Pelodiscus sinensis: one gene and its partner. Each later gene encodes a partner of the first gene's protein in a complex. Links are inferred from orthologs where the notes say so. Each region holds a gene or a part of one and is shown on either strand. Other genes may lie near its edges.

Evidence for each region. Proteins that work in one complex are often made in the same cells at the same time.
Region 2: the proteins of S100B (region 1) and CAPZA2 are in contact, whole or in part, in a crystal structure (PDB 3RM1), measured with the Bos taurus proteins. The link is inferred for Pelodiscus sinensis from reciprocal best matches to the Homo sapiens genes S100B and CAPZA2. Residues at the interface, in NP_001029727.1 of Bos taurus: Ile37, His43, Phe44, Leu45, Glu46, Ile48, Lys56, Val57, Thr60, Phe77, Met80, Ile81, Ala84, Cys85, Phe88; in NP_001013016.1 of Bos taurus: Thr267, Lys268, Ile269, Trp271, Ile274, Leu275.

What each region holds. Positions count from the first base shown.
Region 1 is NC_134717.1:65,124,314-65,131,804, forward strand, and holds the start of S100B (protein S100-B), read right to left. Parts: upstream 3,087-7,491; 5' UTR 2,379-3,086; intron 1-2,378. UniProt on the Homo sapiens protein: Small zinc- and- and calcium-binding protein that is highly expressed in astrocytes and constitutes one of the most abundant soluble proteins in brain.
Region 2 is NC_134711.1:45,678,731-45,685,880, forward strand, and holds the start of CAPZA2 (F-actin-capping protein subunit alpha-2), read right to left. Parts: upstream 3,012-7,150; 5' UTR 2,917-3,011; coding exon 2,863-2,916; intron 1-2,862. UniProt on the Homo sapiens protein: F-actin-capping proteins bind in a Ca(2+)-independent manner to the fast growing ends of actin filaments (barbed end) thereby blocking the exchange of subunits at these ends.

The DNA.
Region 1 (7,491 bases):
CATCAACATGAAGCAAAGCTCCTTTCTAAGAGCAGCTGCTGACTGAAATCAGGCCTCTCTGCTTTTATAGGTTCAGAGGCACAGGTGCTCGATGGCCCAGAGTCAGAAGGGGGACCCTATAGAACCTCATGCAAAGCCTGGAGTGGGCAACAGCTTTTTTTATTCAAACACAGCTGCTAAAACTATCTTCTGCTTCTTCAGAAAAAGAACTGAATCCCCTGCTTAGTGCTAGTACTCACCACCCAGAGACGCATACTGGGTAGGGTTGCCAGATGGTTGAAACAAAAATACCAAACACTTGCTCCTCTCCCTTCCCCCCCACCCCCAAAAAAAAACACCAGGAAAAAATTCTGTTGAAGGAAAACAAAAAGAGGGGTAGGAAAAAAAAGGAGTCCAAGACTTATTAATCTCTCTCTCTATCTCTCTCTCTATATATATAAAATAAAACAGCATTAAGACAGCTTGTCCTTTAAGAGTGAGTGCAGAGCTAGGAACAGGGGAGGGGTTGAGCACTAAGACCCAGGGGAATCATTGCTTCCCCTTGGTCTTTTTGCTGGCAGCCATTTTGTGCCGGCAGTCTTGCGAAACCAGGTAAACATGGGGCTGGGAGAGGCTGGGTGCTGAGTGTTTGTAGGGTTGCCAGATGCCCGGCTGTGGCGGTGCGTCGGGGATCCCCCGCCTCCTGCACCCCCGTAGTGGCACGAACAGACTCCACCAGCCAGTAGACTAGAGGGAGTTTATTGATTCTCTAGGATACAGCACAGCAAAGATGTAATCCGGATACAGGGCAGGCCTAGGATGCCTCAGCCCCCCTTGAGATGGGGGAGACTGGGTCCCTAGATCCCAGCCTGTTGTTTAGGCTGCTTCCTCCATGATACCAGACAGAAACTAAAAACATCCCTTCCAGCCCTGCCCCCCAGCCAGGGGCTGGCCTCCCCTCCTTCCTTCGTTTCTCTCCCTGGGAGGTAACTGGTCGGACAGGTTGGGAGCCCCTTGCATAATGACTCATCCCCTGTCCTGCTGGGCTGTGCTACAAACAGCTGCCAGCGGAGGTCACCCAGAGCCCAAGCCTAGCAACCAGCAAGATACCAACACTACGTCACACCGGAATTTTCACTGCCTGGCCAGGAAAAAAAATCAGAAAATACCGGACATCTTGGGGGTCTGGTATTTTCTGAATTTTCTTTACCGGACAAGAGGTGAAAATACTGGACTGTCCGGGTGAATACTGGACAACTGGCAACCCTAATACTGGGATATGACAGTGGACAACTAGTCTGCATATGCACAGACGCCCACGGAATGCAGAACAGGCGCATTATCCAATTTGTCTTTGTGCGGATATCTGAGGTCGAACCCCAGCGGGCTTCAGGCCAGCTTGCTGAGTCACTTGGCAGTTGCTGTGTTTGCAATAACCAACCATCAAATAATGTTTTGTATAACACGTGGTGCTATGCAAAAGTCCCTCTAAATAGTCATTCCAGCGCAGGGCTGTTTCTTGTAAGAGTGCCTATCGCGTGGATGCCACTGGAGAATGACACCTGCCAGAGCAAACTTGCTGCAATGCACCAAAGTGGGTGTTGTACTGTAAACATGGCAGCTTGGGTGGGACATCAGGGAAATACCAGCAACCAAGCACAAACCCCACACATGACCTTCCCCTTCTTGCTATTGCTGGATATGCAAAGGGGAGTGGAAGTTGACAAACACAGATTACATGCAGAACAAAGCTGATTTTCACGGGCTTCAGTTGGCTTTTTGTGCCTAGCAAAGCTGCATCTTGAAAATGAGCTGAGTCTAAATCAAGGTAGTATTGATCCTGAAAGTCTGCGATGCTGCTCTCTCAGTGCTGCTGAATCAATATTTGCGTAATTTTACAGGGACTTGATTGCATTCTTAATCAGTGCAATGGAGTAAGAAAAGTCACATGTAAAACCCCTCCATTCATCTGAGGAATGGTTTTGACCCTTAAAAACTTATGCCCAAATAACTCTGGACTTCATTGTTTGCACAGCTACAGACTCACGCTGCTAACCCTCTGAGATTTACTCCCCACCCCACCCTGTGCTGCTGCCTCTGTAAAGCTCCCCACAGCAGGATTTCAGGCTCTTACCTCAGTTTTTTCCAACTCTGCCCAACACAAATCAAATCCATGCAACAGGCCCTGGTGCCTCCCCCCACTGCCCCGCACAGTCCTGCCCTCATCCAACAGGTGTCCCCAGCCAGGTACTCACTAGGGGACTGGGGGCCCCCATTCCAGCCCCACCCCACTCCCTGTAGGAGTCTTGCTTTAGCTGTTGGCGCTGCCGCTGGCTTTTTACAGAGGCCATGGTGCCCTGCAGCTACCACCCTCCCCCGGCCCCTGCTGTCAAACCCACCTCATGGGAGCTGTGACGTAGTGGGGGGCTGTTGACTCTGGTGGCCCTGGGCCCACTCTGGTTGGGCTGTCTCTGGTCGCTGTGGGCTGTGAGTGACCCTTCCTGGCCTGTGTCTGTAGCACTGCCCAGCGGGGGGTCGCCCTGAGGAATCGCACGTCACGTAGTCCGTGGCCCAACCGGGTCTCACCTGTCCAGGGACGGGGTCTGAACAAAGGAAGGGTGTGGCTCGGCTGGGAAAACAGGAAGAGCGGAGACTAAGCTGAGTACTGGGGGCTGGGGGGGGCTGGACCCCTACCCCAAGGGGACTGAGGCTGCCTGGCCCCAACTCCTGTAGCCACATCATGTCTGTCCTGTGTCCTGGAGAAGCAATAAACCCTCCTGTTCTACTGGCTGGCGGAGTCACATCTTGCTGCGGACCGGGGTGCAGGACTGGGGGGTACCTGACACACCACCACAGGAGGCAGCTAATTAGTTGTGGGGGAGGGGCCAAGTCCCTTTCCTATCGCGCCCCCCATCCTGTGACAGTCCCCTGCCCTGTGCAGCCCCAGCTCATTTGCTTTCCACCCCCATTCTCCTGGCAGTTGCGGGGGACACGGTGTCTCGACCCCCACTCAGCGTAGCTGGGCCCTGTGCTAATGGTGTGGCAGACCGGGGGCTGGTAAGAGAGAGGCTTTGGCCGGGGGCAAGCGGCTTGGCTCCCCGGCTTGTGTCCCACCCCCCTCAGTGCCAAGGAGACACAGAGCACAGAGGGCCAGGACAGGGCAGCATGGGGCAGGCGCCTGCTGCCAGTGTGGTGACGCGTGCATGGGGGGGGGCGGCGACCCCTGCTGCCACCTGCACCACGCCCCGTGATCCCCAGGTCCCTTCCGACCATAGGACAGCTGGGGGGGGGCACTGAGGGGTCCCCAAAAGCGTGGGGCCTACAGGCAGCTGCCCCATTTCATCCTATGGCCAGGCCGGCTCAGAGGGCAGGTCCCTTGCTAGCTCGGGGCCTGTGCGTAAACAGGGAAGCTGTTGCCCTCTCTGCTGTCAGAATCTGTCCTGGGGAGCGAAGCAGGCCATTCCGAAGGAGAAGCCAGGAGAGGGGGCAGAGAAGCAAAAATGGTTTGTGTGTGTGTGAGGAAATGAAGGGAAGCGGGCGAGAGAAGTGGCACGGGGACAGGAAAGGAGCAAGCGTATTTCAGAGGGATGGCTCACGAATGTGTTCCAGAGGGATGTTCGCAGCCGCTCCGCTATTCTGCAAGGGAAGGGAAGACAAATGAGAAATGCAGGGGGCAAAGATGACACAGTCAAACATTTGGCAGGGGGACATGTCACCGTGTGGTTAATTGGAAACAGCGGCGAGGTGAAAGTGGGTGAGTTCCCCCTCCATTTGAATAGGTAACCTCCCCTACCCCTGACAGAGGGAATACCAGACTAGATGGCCCTTAGAGAATTCCTGCGTTCCCCAGAGCAGAGACCTGGAGTTCATGCCTAATTCCAGAGTGACAATTAAATCCAGAGCTGTCCAAGTTCTCATGTGGCCGCACTGGCCTGAGTCTAAGAGAATTTAATCTGAGCTCAAGACCCCATTCTACTCGCCCCAGGTACATTGTCAGAGACAGGCCCTGACAAGTTTACAGTTTAAATAGATGAGACACAGGGTAAAAAAATCTGTTCTGTCCCCAGATACAGATTTTAATCTATTTTATAAAGGTTCGTATCCTGCCCTCATTCCTGTAGGACCGGAGCATCTTCCAAAGCACAGTCAGCCATGAGACTAATATCTGCCATGTGGGATGGGGAACCTGATTTGGGGAGAGTAGTTAACGGCTACGTCTAGACTGGCATGATTTTCTGCAAATGCTTTTAACGGAAAAGTTTTCCGTTAAAAGCATTTGTGGAAAAGAGCATCGAGATTGGCATAGACGCTTTTCCGCAAAAGCACTTTTTGCAGAAAAGCGGCTGTGCCAATCTAGACACGCTTTTGCGCAAAAAAGCCCCGACTGCCATTTTCGCGATTGGGGCTTTTTTGCGCAAAACAAATCTGAGCTGTCTATACTGGCCCTTTTGCGCAAAAGGACTTTTTCCCGAATGGGAGCGGCATAGTATTTCCGCAAGAAGCACTGATTTCAGACAGTAGGAAGTCAGTGTTCTTGCGGAAATTCAAGCGGCCAGTCTAGACACAGCCAATGGGTGTGTCTAGACTGGCAAGATTTTGTGCAAAAGCACTTGCTTTTGCGCAAAAATTTGCCACCTGTCTACACTGGTCACAAGAATTTGCGCAAGAGCACTGACATTCTAATGTAAGAATTCAGTGCTTCTTGCGCAAATACTTTGACACTCCTGCTCAGGGATAAGCCCTCTTGCACAAGAATACTTGTGCAAGAGGGCCAGTGTACACAAGCATCTTAGTTTTTTGCGCAAGAAAGCCCGATGGCTAAAATGGCCATCGGAGCTTTCTTGCACAAAAGCGCGTCTATACTGGGCATGGATGCTTTTGCGCAAAAGCATCCGTGCCAATCTAGACGCTCTTTTGTGGAAATACTTTTAACGGAAAAACTTTTCCGTTAAAAGCATTTCTGCAAAATCATGCCAGTCTAGACGCAGCCAATAAGTCTAGGCATTCTTTTAATAGCAGCTGAGATAACGCAGTCTGGTCCACCAATTGATCTTGTATCCAGTAATGGAATTGTAAAATGTAGTGCCATCTATGATCTGGAAGCTCTGGCCAGGATATCTGCATGCTTTTAGTAAGTGGGATTTTGATAGCCAACAGCATTTGGCAGGAAGCCACTGCCTGATTTTTCAAGGATATTTATATTCACTTAAGTCTAGGATGCAAGTGAAGGAAAGAGCAGCCAGCAGTGAAAAACATAACTATATATTTTCCATGGTCATAGCTAGTCAATCTTAGTAGATACTTTCTCTCTTCCACAGGCCAGGCCATGCATCAATGCACAAGGTTTAAAGTCCTAAACAGGTTTCCTGCTTTGTCCTTTCTTCCATTATATTGGTTGCCCTCGTGTAGACCTTTCGGCTACGTCGAGATTGCATCCCTTTTTCTGCACGGAGCTTTGCCGGAAAAAAGCACCAGTCTAGACGCGGATCTTTCGGAAAATAAAGCCTTTTCTGAAAGATCCCTTATCTCTCTTAAAATAAGGGATCTAGATGTAGCCTTCAGGTAAGCTAAGTCTTCCTCAGAAGGGAAGAGGGAAGGGGTTTCCCAGCAGCTGATGTGAGGGCTGTTTGCAGCTGAGCCAGTGGGGGATGCTCAGTTGCAGATGGTTCCTGGCACCTTCACAATTAATTCACATCTCTAGTGCTGGGGGCCCATTATTCCAAGGGCTCCGAGCTGGGCTGGATGGCATAGTGGTGTAAGGCATGGCTTGTCTACACTAGCACTCCTGCTGTGGCTCTGAGCTAAGCTAATGGGAGTGAGGAAAGCAGCAATGTAGACAAGGCCTTCAGGATCACATGGGATTAGTTTGGGTCACCACTGCCAATAAGCCAACCAGTACAGAGATCTCAACTGAAAGTGGGCAGCAGTATTAGCTGTCTCCCCTTACGCAACTCACTGGTCTTCTGCCCCATTGCCCTTCCAAGAAGCACGACAGCAGCGCTTGGCTGAGAAGTTCCATCTCGGAGCGCGGGCAGCCTGGCTCAGGAAAAGTGGTGCCCAGGATTATCCCGCAGAAAGAAGAGGCTCTGAAGGGTGGCTAGTTTGGATGCTGGCAACTGGGCTGCGCTTGTCAGTCCTGAGTGTGCAGCATGCACAGCCAAGCGCAGAGCTGAAGGTGTTCTGGCCCTGAAAGCACATTTGTCGGGAGGCGTCGCTGTTACCACGGGGTAATGCTCTGACAGCTTGAATCAATCCTTGGGTTGGATTTCCAGGCCTGGCCCAGCTCTAATGGTCTCAGTGGGGGCTGGAGCAGACCCATCTCACTAATGAACATTGCTGCGCAATTGGCAATTCCAGCTCAAGGACAGACCAGACGGAAAGGGCCGGGGGTGTGCGCAGAAACGCTGCGTACTGCCAGACTGCTACACTCGCCTTGGCCAGCACCATGACTTCATCGCTCTCAGAGTTACATACCTAATAGCTTCTTAAAGGGACAGGGCTATTTTAAAATCCACAGCCAATGTTTTCAAGTGATCTCAAGTTTGGGGTGCTCAGGATTTGCGTGGCACAGAAATGAACACCTTCAGCTCTGCCCTTGGCTGTGCATGCTGCACACTCAGCTATTCCCCAACCCTTACAATACTTTCAGCAATACTGAATTTAGACTGTACTGAAGAGTATCTGGCCCCAAATGGTTAAAGGACCAGGGAGCAACGCATAAAATTGTGCTGTCTCAAATATTTCACTCCTCCATTTGCACCCCACCCTCTTCTTGAGGGAAATACAAAGAGGCCCTTTTATAGCTGCTGCGGATGAGAAAGCCAATTTATTTCTTTGTCCCTTATAAGCATATGCGCACCAGGCTCTGCCTGACAATGGGGTAGTGACTGGCAGGTCTATTCTGCTGTGGGAGAACAGAAACAAGATCTGGAGATCTTTGGGGGAGCAGGTGCCACTTGCTTCAGTCCCCAGGGCTCGCTTGCAAACACAGCTGCACGGAAAAACACTTTCTAGGGCAGAAAGCTGCCTCCGACACTAATTCCTTGGTGTGTTCCTCCCCTTTTCACTGCTGAGCTGATCCTGGACCTTACCAAAGTAGGGAAACAAACTTGGATTTCTCAGCCGACTCCCAAGTGAAGCAACTAGAATATTAAAGACCCTCATTGCTGCTGGGCTGGCCTGATCCAAAGCCCATGGAAATTATTGGAAAGACTCACATTTCCTTCCTCACTGGGACTGTGATCCAAAGCCCAGTGACCTAAGCACAAAAGCTCCATCGGGTGTACAGGGCAGGGAGAAGCTTTTGTTACATAGAAAAGGCCGGTGGATGAGGGAAGAATTACTGTCCCATTTCTGGGAAAGTTTCACAAGCAACCATGTAAAAAGCCTGCAGTGCTGGAGAAACACTTGTTGGAGTTCTGCCTCAGGGCACACCTGTTCCCTAGAGCCCATTCATGCACCTGGGGTCTCCCCTTCCTTCTCATGGAAGGTGGGGATCTGGGGTTTTGCTTC
Region 2 (7,150 bases), on another chromosome or scaffold:
TGGTGCTCCAATATTGCAGGGGATCACAAGGCTGGAGTACCGACATGGGCTCCCTACTGCAGGGGAAGTTGGGGGGGAGGGGAGGAAGGGCCTGAGCTCGAGCTGCAAAAAAAGCTATATTTGGCTTCTTACTGAGCCATAGGTTGCCGATCCATTTTAAACCTCTCTGGCCATTCTATAATGGATTTTAAAGAAGCCATTTTTCTATAAAGGAATTTCACCACTCAATTACAGAGAGAGAGTGCTGAGCTGGAGTTCATTTGCATGTTGGATACTGTCTCCCTGGTCTTTAACAAATATATTAACTGGTTAATGCACTACAAAGCCAATTTCCTATGCCTTTGACATTTGCATTTCACATCAATAGCCATGAATGGGACACATACAGCCTACTTAATTAGCTTCAATAACAAGGGTGCTATAATTGACAGGTAATGGACAATTGTTTTTGATATTATATATATTTTGGATTCTGTATTTTCACTCCAACTCATCTGATGAAGTGAGTTTTACCCACAAAAGTTCATGATCTTATACCTTTGGTATCCTTTCAGGTGCCACAGGACTACTCATTTTTCAAATGGACTAACACAGCTACCCCTTCGACTTCTTACAGCACTGAGGTGCATGTGTTATATATTTCACAAGCCCAGAATGTATTATTGGGCAAGGAGGAGAGAGTCAAGGATTTGTACATTTTGGATGGAGAAACAGAATTGCAAGAAGAGACCTCAGAACTTCATTAGATTGGTGATAGAAGAACCTAGACTCAATTAGGTGGAGGGAGAGTCAATTGATTTGGGGAGGGGAGGGGGGGCAGAAACTTATTTACTGTAGCAGAGTGAAGATATGGCAATGCAGTGACAAGTAGCCATAAGTACTTCTCAGCCAGATAAGTAAATGTTGTTTCCAAGTTTATCCTATCCAATTTATTTCCCTATTTTTAAAGTAACTTTTCCATACAAGGCTTGGATGGGACTAGTCAACTACAAATTTGTATCTGTTAGCCTTTACGGTTGCTAATTTTACTATTTCTGCTGCTTTTAACACCACACACACAATGTACTCAATAAATTAAAGGGAAAAACTACAGCCGTAAATGTCTCTGCCCTTAGGAGCTATGAACCACTCTATGCTCTGGTGCTAAATTACTATATGAGGAATGTAATAGCATAATCTATTAACTGATATGCAAAAACTTATAGGTTAATGGTATTGACTATATACATTTCCTTCACCACCCTACCCCCTCCCCAGCCAGTACATTTTTAGTAGACTTACCCTGCTGCAGCTCTGCATTTAAATTATATTAGGAGCTGCACAGGCAGGCAGCCTGGCTCAGTCCTGGCTCCCACTGGGTCCTGGACCTACCCCCGCTATGGCTCTACATTTGAAGTGTACTAGGAGCCACATGGGCAGACAGTCAAGCTCAGTTTCGCCTCTTTACCAGAGTCAACAACACTGGGCAACAAGCAGCCAGTCCACAAGGGGAGCTTGGTTGTTCAGGAGTGAGGCCAGAGTGCATTGGCTACCAGCCCCACCCCCAGACACTATAGAATAGTCAACTAACCGATAAGAATTCATGGGGTTACTTGACTATTCAATTAACCAATATTTAACGTCCCTATACTATACCTTTCACTGCTCTCAGTGACTTCATTTACCCATCTCCTTCTAAAATCCACTGCTAGCAGGCCTGATATGTAGGAAGGCTCCCACATTACAATTAACATTACAGAAGGCATTTTCTGTCTTCTCTTTAATTTCAAGGAAATGTAAGATCTCTCTCAATTCCTTAAAATCGCCCACACTTTTGAGTTGCCTTTACAGCTTCATCAGCCTTAAAACTGTATTTATTAGAGATGAGCAATAGGAGTTACATAAGGACATGAGAGCTATACACCACCATGATGTTGGCATATCTCCACATCCTGATTCTGAAGCCTCCTTTTCCATCTGCAACTGCAATGTGCCTTGGTCCAAGAGAAGGAGGACAGACTGAAAAGAGTAGCTTTAACACTCGGGTTTTACAAGATGCCCTTCCCTTATGCATCATCATTTTAGGAAGCTATTTTCAAACCACAGAGGCCAAGTGAGCAAAGAAAGATTTCACATAGCCAAGGGAAAAATTATAAACATCTCGCTGATCCAAAACACTGAGTCTCCTGGAAATGTATTTGCTCTGCCCTTACAATTCACCTCTAAGGATGGGATCTGAAGTCCCCTCCCACGCTCGCCTATCAATGGGGTGGGGGGAGGTGATTCACACAGAGGCTCACTCCTCCAACCTGCAAGAACTCTCCCTTCACTGTATCCCCGGAAGTAAGAGGAGCTCCTACAGACGCCGCCCCCAGGCTCTTTGCAATGGGGGCCGGGAGGAAGACATTGAACTCGGCCCTTACGAGCTATGCCTCCGAGGAGGTCTGGAGACAAGGGAGCGGCCCGAGCGGGCGAGGGGAAGGGCCCGTCTCCGAGACGCCACCCGGCTCGCTCTCTCCGCACCCCCGATCAAGAGGCAGCAGCCGCCCCAGGGCGAGGACCGGGCGAGCCCCGGAAAAGGCGGGGGGAGGAGGAAGGAAAGTGGCAGCGCCTGAGGCCGAGCTCTTTGGGCCGGCCGGGCGGCCTCACGCATCGGACACCGGATCCTGCCCCCAGCCCGGCGCCTGGGGCCTATTTTCAGCCCTCGGACCGTACAAGGCGCGTCGGGAGCTGCCCCTGGGCCGGCCCCGCTGCCGGCAGACTCTGACTGACAGCGCCGGGAAAGGAAGAAGCTAAAAATACAAACGCCGCCGCCTGAGGCAGCGAGGCCCCATCCCGGTCGCTAAGCCCGCCGGGGGCTCCAGCTGCCCCGGCCCGCGGTACCTTCTCCTCATCCGAAAGCTGCTCCTCCAGGTCCGCCATCTTCCGCCCCGCCATGAACAGCCGCCGAGCAGGCTCCTCCCTCCGGCAGGAAAGGCGGGGCCCTCTCACGTGTCTCCCGGCGCCTTCCCCGCGCGGCTCGAGAGGGCGGGACCGCGGCTTGGCCAACGGCCATTGCACGTACGCGCGTGCGCGCAGCGAGGGGCGGGCAGAGCGGAGAGGGAGTCGCATTCGCCGGGGCTCGCGCAGCGCCCGCAGATTGAGGCGAGCTGGGTCCCCGGGGGAGGGTCAGAAACCAGGCGGGTAGATTTCGCGCGGGAGGGGGCGGTCAACGTGTTTCGCCTCAGCTCCCTTGTGCGTGAGCGGGGCCGGCGGTGATGACCCGGATACAGCCGATTTCCGGCCTCTCGCCATTGAGCATCCTCCCAGCACCGCTCCCTGTTGGTCTGTAATGGAAAAAACCAAGGACCAGTCCTGCAGCACCTCAGAGACTAGCACAAATGTAGATGGAATCATGAGCTTTCAAGGGCACAACCCGCTTCTGTAGCTGACTGTGATACATGTGAAGGGAAGCGCCACACTGGGTCAGATATAAGGGCTATACTGTATTTGAGCCCTGGGAGGACAGGTCAAATTGACAGATATCCCACATGGAGAAGCAATTGTTTTTACATTTATTCTTATTTAAATAACATGTTGACTGTCACACGCTTCCACCATCCATAGGCATGGGATTAATAGCACCTGCAGAGAAAATACAAAACTGTGCTCGAGGTTTCAAATATACCCTGACACAAACATTCAGTTGTTACAAGGGGTTAAGACCCAATAGGTGTGCCTCACCCCCACAGCAATGATGGCCCCTGTCTCCAGGTAATAGCCTCAGGACTTCACCGAGAAGTCTGTAGGAATGCCTAACATAATGAATGCTAGTGGGAAGGGGGTAGTTTTAGAAGGTAAAATAAAAAAAGAACAAGTTAAAAATCACCTAGAAAAGTTAGATGCCTGCAAGTCACCAGGGCCTGATGAAATGCATCCTAGAATACTCAAGGAGCTGATAGAGGAGGTATCTGAGCCTCCTGTTGTCATCTTTGGAAAATCATGGGAGACAGGAGAGATTCCAGAGGACTGGAAAAGGGCAAATATTGTGCCCATCTATAAAAAGGGAAATAAGAACAACCCAGGAAACTATAGACCAGTTAGTTTAACTTCTGTGCCAGGGAAGATAATGGAGCAAGTAATTAAGGAAATCATCTGTAAACACTTGGGCTACGTCTAGACTGGCATGATTTTCCAGAAATGCTTTTAACGGAAAAGTTTTCCGTTAAAAGCATTTTTGGAAAAGAGCGTCTAGATTGGCAACGGAAGCTTTTCTGCAAAAGCACTTTTTGCAGAAAAGCATCCATGGCCAATCTTGATGTGCTTTTCCGCAAAAAAGCCCCGATCACCATTTTCGCGATTGGGTTTTTTTGCGGAAAACAAATCTCAGCTGTCTACACTGGCACTTTTGCGCAAAACATTTGCCCGAACGGGAGCAGCATAGTATTTCCGCAAAAAGCACTGATTTCTTACAGTAGGAAGTCAGTGCTTTTGCGGAAATTCAAGCGGCCAGTGTAGACAGCTGGCAAGTTTTTCCGGAAATGGCTGATTTTCCAGAAAAGCTTGCCAGTCTAGACACAGCCTTGGAAAGTGGCAAGGTGATAGGGGTCAGCCAGCATGGATTTGTAAAGAACAAATCATGTCAAACCAATCGGATAGCTTTCTTTAATAAGATAATGAGTCTTGTGGATAAGGGAGAAGCGGTAGATGTGGTATACGTAGACTTTAATAAAGTGTTTGATACAGTCTCACATGATAGTCTTATCAATAAACTTAGTAAATACAACTTAGATGGGGCTACTATAAGGTGGGTGCATAACTGGCTGAATAACCATACTCAGAGAGTAGATATTAATGGTCCACAATCCTGCTGGAAAGGCATGACAAGTGGGGTTCGTCAGGGGTCTGTTTTGGGACCGGCTCTGTTCAATATCTTCATCAATGATTTAGATATTGGTATAGAAAGTACGCTTATTAAGTTTGCGGATGATACCAAGCTGGGAGGGGTTGCGACTAATCTGGAGGACAATTTAAAAAGACCAGGACAAATTGGAGAAATGGTCTGAGGTAAACAGGATGATGTTTAATAAAGACAAATGCAAAGTGCTCCACTTAGGAAGGAACAATCAGTTTCATACGTACAGAATGGGAAGCGACTGTCTGGGAAAGAGTATGGCAGAAAGGGTTCCTGGGGGTCATAGTGGACCACAAGCTGAATATGAGTCAGCAGTGCAATGCTGTTGCAAAGAAAGCAAACATGATTCTGGGATGCATTCACAGGTGTGTTGTGAGCAAGACACAAGAAGTCATTCTTCCGCTCTACTCTGCGCTGGTTAGGCCTCAATTGGGTCCAGAGAAGAGCAACAAGAATGATTAAAGGTCTAGAGAACATGACCTATGAGGGAAGGCTGAAGGAATTGGGTTTGTTTAGTTTAGAAAAGAGAAGATTGAGGGGGGGACATGATAGCAGTTTTCAGGTATCTAAAAGGGTGTCATAAGGAGGAGGGAGAAAACTTGTTCATCTTGGCCTCTGGGGATAGGACAAGAAGCAATGGGCTTAATCTGCAGCAAGGGAGGTGTAGGTTGGACATTAGGAAAAAGTTCCTAACTGTCAGGGTGGTCAGACACTGGAATAAATTGCCCAGGGAGATTGTGGAATCTCCATCTGTAGAGATATTTAAGAGTAGGTTAGATAAATGTCTATCAGGGATGGTCTAGACAGTATTTGGTCCTGCCATGAGGGCAGGGGACTGGACTCGATGACCTCTCAAGGTCCCTTCCAGTCCTAGTATTCTATGATTCTATGTGTTTTCTCCCATTATTGCCCCTGTGTGTGCTTTAGGAACAAGGACCATCCCCTCCCTCCCCCCACGCACACACCCACACACCTGTGGTTTATCTGTTATTTATGTTTCATACCACTTTGGGTAACTGCCTATTCTTTACGGAAAAGTGATGCAGTCTAGACACAGCCAAAGGGTTTTCCTTTTCCAAAACAAAATCAAATGCATTATACATTGTTACAGGGTTACTTTAGAAACATTAAATTTATTCCAGGACTAAACAATAGCATTAGCATAAATTTTCTTATAACACTTTTCCTTCTAGCATATTGTAATAATTGCTCAAGTCCTTCCAGACTCCTCAGAGTTAACTTTTCACTATTTTTCCCTTAATCACTTGCTTTGTCTTTCAAATGAAAACTTAATTAGTTTAGAGATCACCATTCCAAGTAATTTTCCAAGAATTAATATCTCCAGTGCCTGTACTTACACTCACACCCTTATTCCTGCTACTGTGCCCTCAGGCTATGTCTATATTGGCAAGATTTTGCGCAAATACTCTTTAACGCAAGAGCTTTTGTGTTACAGTATTTGAGTAAGAGAGCGTCTACACTAGCATGTGCTTTTGCGCAAAAGCATTCATGCCAGTGTAGACGCTCTCTTGCGGAAGACAGCTCCGATGGCCATTTTAGCCATCGGGCTTTCTTGCGCAATGAAGTAATGTTGCCTGTCTACACTGGCCTCTTGCACAAGAACAGTTGCGCAATAGGGCTTATCCCTGAGCGGGAGCGTCAGAGTATTCGTGCAAGAAGCACTGATTTTATACATTAGAATGTCAGTGTTCTTGCGCAAGTACTCACGGCCAGTGTAGACAAGCAGCATGTTTTTGCGCAAAAGCAGGTGCTTTTGCGCAAAATCATGCCAATGTAGACACAGCCTCAGCGTTCTGATCCTCTTTCCCACTCTCACTTGCTTGTTTGCTTTCTTATCTGTCTGGGCCTGATCCTGCTTTCTCTGCTGAATGACCCCTTTCCACAGACACAGGTTTTGTCCCTTACTAATTTAGCAAGAAGGGTGGGCTCTTTAACTAGCCCCCAAACCTTCTGGTTCCTTTTCTTGGGTAAATCCAAATGTTCATTTCTGCAGTCAGCTATTTTTTTTTTAATTCCTCATTACAGGCTTTTCGTAACAGCCAGACTGCAGCAGTATCTCTTTTGATTGAGATTAAGGGTTTGTAAACCAGTAAATGTTTCGCCAATTTGTTTTTAAGATCTTCATGGTGTGAGATAAGCTAAGGCATTGTCAGACCATGGACTATGACTAAACTTTTGCAATATTTGCTTCAAAGATATACTTTACCTCTTCTCTTCATGAGGGGTTTCTTTCTGAATTTTTGCTCCAATGTGCCC